2 linked regions of the Kluyveromyces lactis genome follow. The protein of the gene in region 1 purifies or fractionates together with the protein of each later gene. This does not show direct contact. Links are inferred from orthologs where the notes say so. Each region holds a gene or a part of one and is shown on either strand. Other genes may lie near its edges.

The links.
Region 2: the proteins of UBP8 (region 1) and SPT7 purify together in Saccharomyces cerevisiae (affinity purification with mass spectrometry; 18 studies listed by BioGRID, with this or other methods). This does not show direct contact. The link is inferred for Kluyveromyces lactis from reciprocal best matches to the Saccharomyces cerevisiae genes UBP8 and SPT7.

The regions. Positions count from the first base shown.
Region 1 is NC_006039.1:603,178-606,816, forward strand, and holds UBP8 (ubiquitin-specific protease UBP8), read right to left. Parts: upstream 2,508-3,639; coding exon 1,167-2,507; downstream 1-1,166. Other genes in the region: PLP2 (Plp2p), read left to right, coding at 148-1,005; KLLA0_C06996g (alpha/beta hydrolase), read left to right, coding at 3,253-3,639. UniProt on the Saccharomyces cerevisiae protein: Histone deubiquitinating enzyme component of the transcription coactivator SAGA complex. SAGA acts as a general cofactor required for essentially all RNA polymerase II transcription.
Region 2 is NC_006041.1:1,117,426-1,121,441, reverse strand, and holds the start of SPT7 (SAGA histone acetyltransferase complex subunit SPT7), read right to left. Parts: upstream 2,801-4,016; coding exon 1-2,800. Other genes in the region: KLLA0_E12563g (uncharacterized protein), read right to left, coding at 3,701-4,016. UniProt on the Saccharomyces cerevisiae protein: Component of the transcription coactivator SAGA complex. SAGA acts as a general cofactor required for essentially all RNA polymerase II transcription. At the promoters, SAGA is required for transcription pre-initiation complex (PIC) recruitment.

The sequences.
Region 1 (3,639 bases):
TGAATGGTGTCTATTTTTTTTTTTTAAGTTTTAAATTTATAATAGCATGAAGGCATCAGTATTTCATACTAAACTGAGCCAACCGGTGAGAATAAACCTACACATAAGATTACTTGACAGCTTCTGCAGCACCACAATCTAACCATAATGCAAAATGAGCCTATGTTTCAAGTGCAAGTCGATGAGACAGAAGATACCGAGTGGAACGATATCTTAAGAGCTCACGGTGTAATTCCAGAAAGACCACCATCACCAACTGCGCAGCTAGAAGAAGCGTTAGAAGAAGCATTGGCAAAGCAACATGAAAATAGACTAGACGGCAAGGATCTATCAGATTTGGAGGATTTGGAAGATGAAGAAGATGAGGAATTTCTACAATTTTATAAACAGAAACGTCTCAATGAGATCAAGAAATTACAGGAAAAGGCAAAATTTGGTTCAGTATATCCAATCAGCAAACCTGATTACAACAGAGAGATCACAGAATGCAGTAAAGGCACTAAAAAATCACAATATGTTGATGATGGTTCTTCAGAGTTTGAAGGAGGGGTTTATGTGTTTGTTCATTTAACTTGTCAAGCCAAACTTGAAAGTAGGTTATTATCTAGTATCTTTGAGAAAGCAGCAGCCAAATTCCCCCAAATCAAATTCGTGGAAATTCCTGGTAATAGAGCAATAGAGAATTATCCAGATAACAACTGTCCGACTTTGATTGTTTATTACAAAGGTGATGTCGTAAAACATTTGGTTACACTACTCGAACTTGGTGGAAAAGATACTAAATTGGAAGATTTTGAAAGACTTATGGTTGATATTGGTGCAGTAGACGAGAAAGATGGTAGATTGCTAATGAACCACGAAGATGATTATACTAAACAAGAAAAGAAACAGAGATACGGTCATAACAGTATAAGATCAGGTATCAAAGGCAAATTTAATGTTGGTGTTGGTAGAAATGGCCGCAACGGTGCAGATGATGATGATGATGATGATTTCTTCGATTAGATAGAATACTATATATATATGGGTCTGTATATTGAAAAAAAAGATATAAAGGCAATAATAACACGTCGATTGGTGTGATGTTATTTGGGTTTCTTTTCTGACATATATATACGGAAGCCACCTAGTAAACCAATTTAGGAGTTTTTCTTCTTTTAACATATTCAACGAATAATGTAGAAAAGTAGATATGCTTGTTGTTCCAATACTTGCTCTTCCGTTACTGAAGTGACAACAGAATCATTGAATTTAAACCATTGTCCATCTTCAGTTTTACTCACCGTGGTATAATGACCTTGATCAACCGTCCCCTGATGGGAGACTACATTTAGTAGATCATATGCAATATTAGGAATATATTCATCTTCAATCTGGAATAAATGGGGTTTTAGATTTAAATGCAATGGAAACTGTACTCTATCATTTAATTTTGCGCTTTGACCGTTGAGTTGATGTTCGAATCTTTTCAACTGTATAACTAATACGTTAGGAGCCTTATGCAACGTTAACTGTTTCACCACACCCTGGTTCTGTTTACAGCTTTGGCATTCGTAGTGAAAATCGGTTAATGTTTCCTCTCTTTGGAAGTGATCTAAGCAATCTTCTAATTTAGGGTTATTTTTGATCTCTAAGGAAAGGTCCATGATTGGATCTATTGTGGTCTTTGAGAATCCACACTGAGAACACTGTAAAGTGTTTTTAAGATATCCTTGGAAGATTCGATGCGTGATACATTGACAATCAGGGGCCTTTGACGATCCGAATACTCGTGCATGATCCGTATGCAGTTGGTTCAATAAGAACTGCCAGTACTCATGTGCATCCTGTTGTGACGAGCCAACAAGATGATGATTGATATGCCATGATGCAGATAAAAGGTTTACAAAGCCTTTGCTAACGGAGGAAGACTTCCCTGTCCCAGGTCCATTCCCGTAAAAGTCACAAGCAATTTCATCCAATGCACAAGAGACGCACTTGGTTCCTGATTTAATGTCACAATTGTTGCAATGCTTATGAGATAACAGGTCCTCGACAAAGTATGGATTATGTATGATGGTTTGAATGATACTACTCATGAAACAGGTGGATCCCATGTTCACCAAACCTTGTAATCCATCTCTGTGTAAGCTAGCTGGTAGCTCGGTCTTTTCCATTACAGTATCCCATTGGCTAGCCGGAATTTCAGCGACCAGATCAGCCATGAAATCACCACATCTGAAACAGAACACTAGACCATTTGATGAATTAACCCCAAAGATGTGTCCCAATTTTTGAGAATGATCCAAGAAATGGTTGTTATTCCAGCACCCGCAAAATCCGCATTGCAAGCAAATGAAAGTCGATCCACAGCTAATTTCACCACAATCCATACATCTCATGGTTCTCATAGTTCTATTCTTGAAGTCTGCGTGGCGAAGCAGATATCGTACCGTTTCGCATTCTTTCAACACTGCGTCACCAAGCTTTTGGTTAGAAACCACTTGATTCATATGCGGACAAACCATAACTAATAAAAAAAATTTTGGCCAAGCACACGCACGAGCACTGAGAAATTTCAGAAAAATATCTAGCTGAAGTTCCCTGCTCGAGCTAGAGGATGACTAAGGCACAAAGACTTTGCTCCGTTTCCCCAAAAATTGTAACTGAATCTGATTACTAGATCATCATCTGTTAGAGTGCGAATTTCATATAATGAAAAGTTAAACAGAAAAAACTTGATCCAGAATCAAGCAAAAAAATGAAAAAGCGAAAAATAAAAGGAAGAAATGATACATAAGTAAACGGTAGATAGTATATACTTGTGGGAGCTCAGTGTGGTCATATACAGACTACTATCAGCCGGGGTGTTTGTAACCATACAGGCAAATGAGTGGAGGTGTCTACAGGATCTCTTATATATTATTAGTTTTATTTTTTATGAGTATCAAAATTAGCATGTATCCCGTAGTCATCCTTATGTAGTCATTTTGTACTCTTTCTCTCGAGAGGTACCTGGAAAAACCAGCTGCGTACGAAGATTTCTAGGAGATAATCCGATTCGCAGAGAAAGAGAGAGAGGGAGAGGGAGCTCATCGCAAGGAAAATTTAAAAAAAAAAAAAGTTCATCAACGTTTTCCAATTCTGTTCCAGTATTCTGAAGGGGAGTAGTATATGGGTAGGTATTTATGTCCGGTTTCTATTATTAGTGGATTTGGATTTAACACCGCTTCAGGCTGTGAGGTAGATAAACAGTTCTAGGGTTTTTAAAAAATGTCTAAGAAAGTATTGATGTTGCATGGGCTTGCCCAGTCTGGTCCTTATTTTGAATCGAAAACGAAAGGTTTTCGTCGGGTCTTAGAACCACTTGGATATGAGTTCTTCTACCCTACAGCACCAATTAATTTATCACCAGCAGATCTTCCTAGCGATGTTGCAGATATCGGCGCTGCTTCTGGGGATGACTATCACGCGTGGCTTCAACCGGATCCGTTGCATGGGGAGTACAGATTGCCCGACGTGACTTTGAAATTCTTGAAAGAGTACGTTGTCGAAAATGGACCATTTGATGGTATCTGTGGGTTTAGTCAAGGTGCAGGTGTCACTGGATATTTGATGACGGATTTCAATAACCTTTTAGGCCTCACGGAGGAACAACAG
Region 2 (4,016 bases), on another chromosome or scaffold:
ATTCTTTGAACCTTAGCGGTTGTTGTGAATTTTTGGGTTTATTTGGATTTTGTAGTGCTCTAATCAAAGAAATTTTATGACATATATGCCTAATCTCATGTATCAACTGGATATTCGTGTTCATTTTTGGACTCAACCCCTTATCGACAGTATTCAACAAAGAGCTCTTCATTACTTTTCCTTCCTTCATAATTTTTTGAACCATAGCTTCCTCAGCTTTATCTAATTGTTCTTTCCCAATACCTGTATATGCCAAGTCCGGGATATAATTAGTGATGTTGTACTCTGTCAATAACGAAGAATCTTCGAGAGTGATTTCATTCGATTCTTTAGTCAAGGAACTTTCGGCATCTTGTGATTTAACGTTCGTGTCAGAAAAATTCGATACACTGCTATCTGCTTGGTTCATTATTGCCCCAAAACCGTTTTTCATCATTGACTGTTCTTGTAATTTTTGTCTTGCAAATTCTGCTTCTTTCTGTTGCTTATACTCCTCGAAGAACTGATCAAAATTCTTTAATTTAGAAGGATTTTTCAAGAGGGCATCAGATTCGGAATTAATTTTGTGTTCGTTGAACAATTGTGATCTTTTCAAACAAATTTCAGCACGGGCTTTGGCTGTAAGTGTTTTCCATGTGGACAATTCCAGATCGTCCTTATCGTCATCTCGTTCAAGAAGCATCATTCCAGCGGCATTATCTTCTTCATCTTCATCCTCTTCCTCTTCCTCTTCTTCTGCATCCTCATGTTCTTGGTTTTTTTCAACAGTTGACACTGCTTTACTTTCAACTGCTGGTTCAGTAGATTCGTTATTAGTCGAAGATTGAGCCACTTTGGAGCCTCTCCCCTCTGCAGAAACTATGCCAACTTCTGGCGTTTGTTCAGCTTCGTTAGTGGAAGGTGTTTTGTCACTGCTTACTGTTTTATTGGTGGATTGTTGTTGATTCCGTTCAGCATCAGTTGCTCGTGTTTTTTTACCTCCAGGATGGTTCTCTTCCATTTCTTCTTCTTCATCGTCAATAACCTTTTGAACACCACGTCTCTGAATACCCTTACGACCTGAACCAGCATCCTCTTCATCGTCTTTAATGTTGCTCTCGGCGTCTATATCTTCTAGTTCTTTTTCAACTTGCGCTCTATCACGGATTGTTATATCTGGTATTAGTGGTACTAGTTGTTGAGATTTCTTCTGCATCGCAATTGCATGGGCTCTCAAGAAATGCTTAGGATCCGAGTTATACGTGAGGCAGTTTCTCCATATTAACATAATATCATCAACAAACTCATGTTTAGATTTATACTGAAAAGTTTTGAGCTTCTTCAGCACAGTGTTCAAATCCATTGGTTTTTTAATTATTTGGTAATAGTTTGGAGCTTCTCTCTTGCTGACTTTGTTAAGAAATGCAGTAGAATGCTCTGTGAAATTTCTGAGTTCCAGTACCACCTTCTCGCATGCATCGTATAATTCTTCTTGTCCAATTTTATCTTCAGAAGCCCATTTAGATCTGTTCATTCTAACATCCATTAATAAATGTTTAAGTTCGTAATCTGAAATATCTAGCTTACTTTTATTTTCCTGTACCGATTTGAGCAAATGCCTTAATGACAGATTTACGACACCGAGGTCCATTTGGATATCTGCTTTAGTCTTAGTATTGATCTTCTTATCTGCCGCAGACTTATGATGAGATATGCTAGGGTTCCCTGAGTCATCCTCTTCTTCGTCTTCAATCTGTTCGTGAGACCTTTTCCTTGAGCTTTCTAGCATTTGATCATTTTCCTGAAGTTTTAAACGCCTCATAGTGGTCTCTTTATCATTGTCAAAGAGATGATATATTTTGTGAAAGTTACCGATGATATCGTAGGTATTTACAGATGGAAGTTCGTTCAAAGTTTCCTTTGAGATGATGAAATGCAGTCTTATGAGTCCGTTATCAAGTTGCTCGTAAATTGGCGATTCAGTTTCATCTGACACTTTGGGTTTCTCATCAAGATCATTAGGATGAGAGATTTTTCCATTTTCTGTATCATTTTTTTCTATCTTTTGAGGATCTTCTTCAGCATCATCGTAATTATCCTCGTCGTCGTCATCATCATCTTCATCATAGTTATCATCTTCATCAGAGCCTTCTTTGTTTTCGCTATTCTTGCTCACTTCTTTCATAGTCAAGGGTGCTGTGTCATTTGTAGGAAGCGTGGAAGAGTTGGGAACCGCACTTTGATCTATAAGAGTATTATTACTTCCATCCTCTATTACAGCGCTATCATTATCCGTGTCAAGTAGAAGGTATTCTGAGGATGTTTCTGGCTCAAGGAGAGTGAGTCCATGTTCCCATACAACGTACCTGACTTTCATAGATAAATTTCCTATAAAATCCAGTCCATCTAGCTGGGCCTTCAATTGTTCCAAATCGATCATATCACTGTCGTCATCGTCAACACTTTGGTTATCAGTCGAATCATGTAAAGGAGTGCCAGTTCTCGAGAGTCCAGAACTAGCTTGAGGTTGTTGTTGTGTTGATAATGATGGTAATCTGGTAGCCGCTACCAAATCATTAGTGGCACCTTTGTCGGAAGTTGCATTAAGAGTTGTATTCAGTTCTACAAATAGTTCCAACTTGCCGGAGAGAAACGCATCCCATATAAGTGTCTTTGATTCTTGGTCTGGTAGACTCAACAAGTACTTCAATAAAAGTAACTGACTCGGATTGAGGTGCTTTTTAAATACATCATCTGCGAATAACTTCTGGATGGTTCGAAGTATTGCGGCGGCATCGGACCGCTGGTAACTTGTAATCATGGACAGTCAACTTTTTCCGCAGAAAGAACCACTAGAGTAAATAAAGAGTAGTTTTGAAGGAAAATTCTGAATCAATTCCTTCACTACCAGCTCGCTTGCCTCTCGTTTTACTGATACAAGCTGTAAACGGCACGACTTTTGAGTGTATGGTCCGAATCTTGTTTGTCCATCAGTTGCACCGATTGTCTGTGTTTTCCAAAATTCACGAAATGTCAAAAAACATCAAAACGTATAAAGTGATATTGGGACAGTCATACGGCTTATTCGTTTCAGCGGCGCTTAGCCTTAACATACAAGAGTTGAGTATCCAACAGCTCTACCCAGTTGTATCTATATATATAGGACTAGTTGTGGTAGGTTTTTAGTACCTAGGTAAGCATTGATAAATTGATTTTCACTAGCTAGAATGATCAGGCGTATGTCTCTCCATTTCTATAATTGTGACCAAATTGGCACATTCAGAAACCAATGTCTGTGGACAAAAACCAGTCTTGAAAAGTCTTGAAAAATCTTGTATAATTATAACCAATGGTTCTAGCTTACCTGTCGGAAACAGTCGTCTAATGGAAATGAAATATATCAAAATTATACGGTATATATACCTACATGTACCATGAGCACATACACAATATAATATAAAGAAAATTGGTGCGTTAATATATATACTATTCTTTCTAATACTTTAAACCTTGAAAGCTTGAAGTTGAGAATTGTGTCAGAAGAAGTCCAAAACGATGTGAGTTGAAAGTACCGATAACAAAAAGGGGTAGGATATACAATGGTGGAAGGTTTGAGTATTTTTTTAGTCGGATTAAGATGATATTACTTTCCGCCGAACCCTGTCCTTTTGTAGTATTCTTTTCTTCGGTTCATTCTTCTTTTTTTTTTGTTATATTTCTTTCAAATAGCATACTTCTTAGTCCATTCTCTAGCAGTAGCCTCGTACTTAGCTCTATCGGTCTTATACAAATGAGCGATTTCAGGGACCAAAGGATCATCAGGGTTAGCGTCTGTTAGAAGAGAACAAATGGACAACAAGACCTTAGAGATAGTTAAAGCTGGAGACCATTGATCTTTTAGGATATCTAGACAGATGTTACCATTAGCGTTGATATTTGGGTGGTAGATCTTAGTGGTGAAAGAGATCTTTGGTGGTTTGAAGGGGTAATCTGTTGGGAAATGGATTGATAGGAAGAAAACACCGCCTGCATATGGG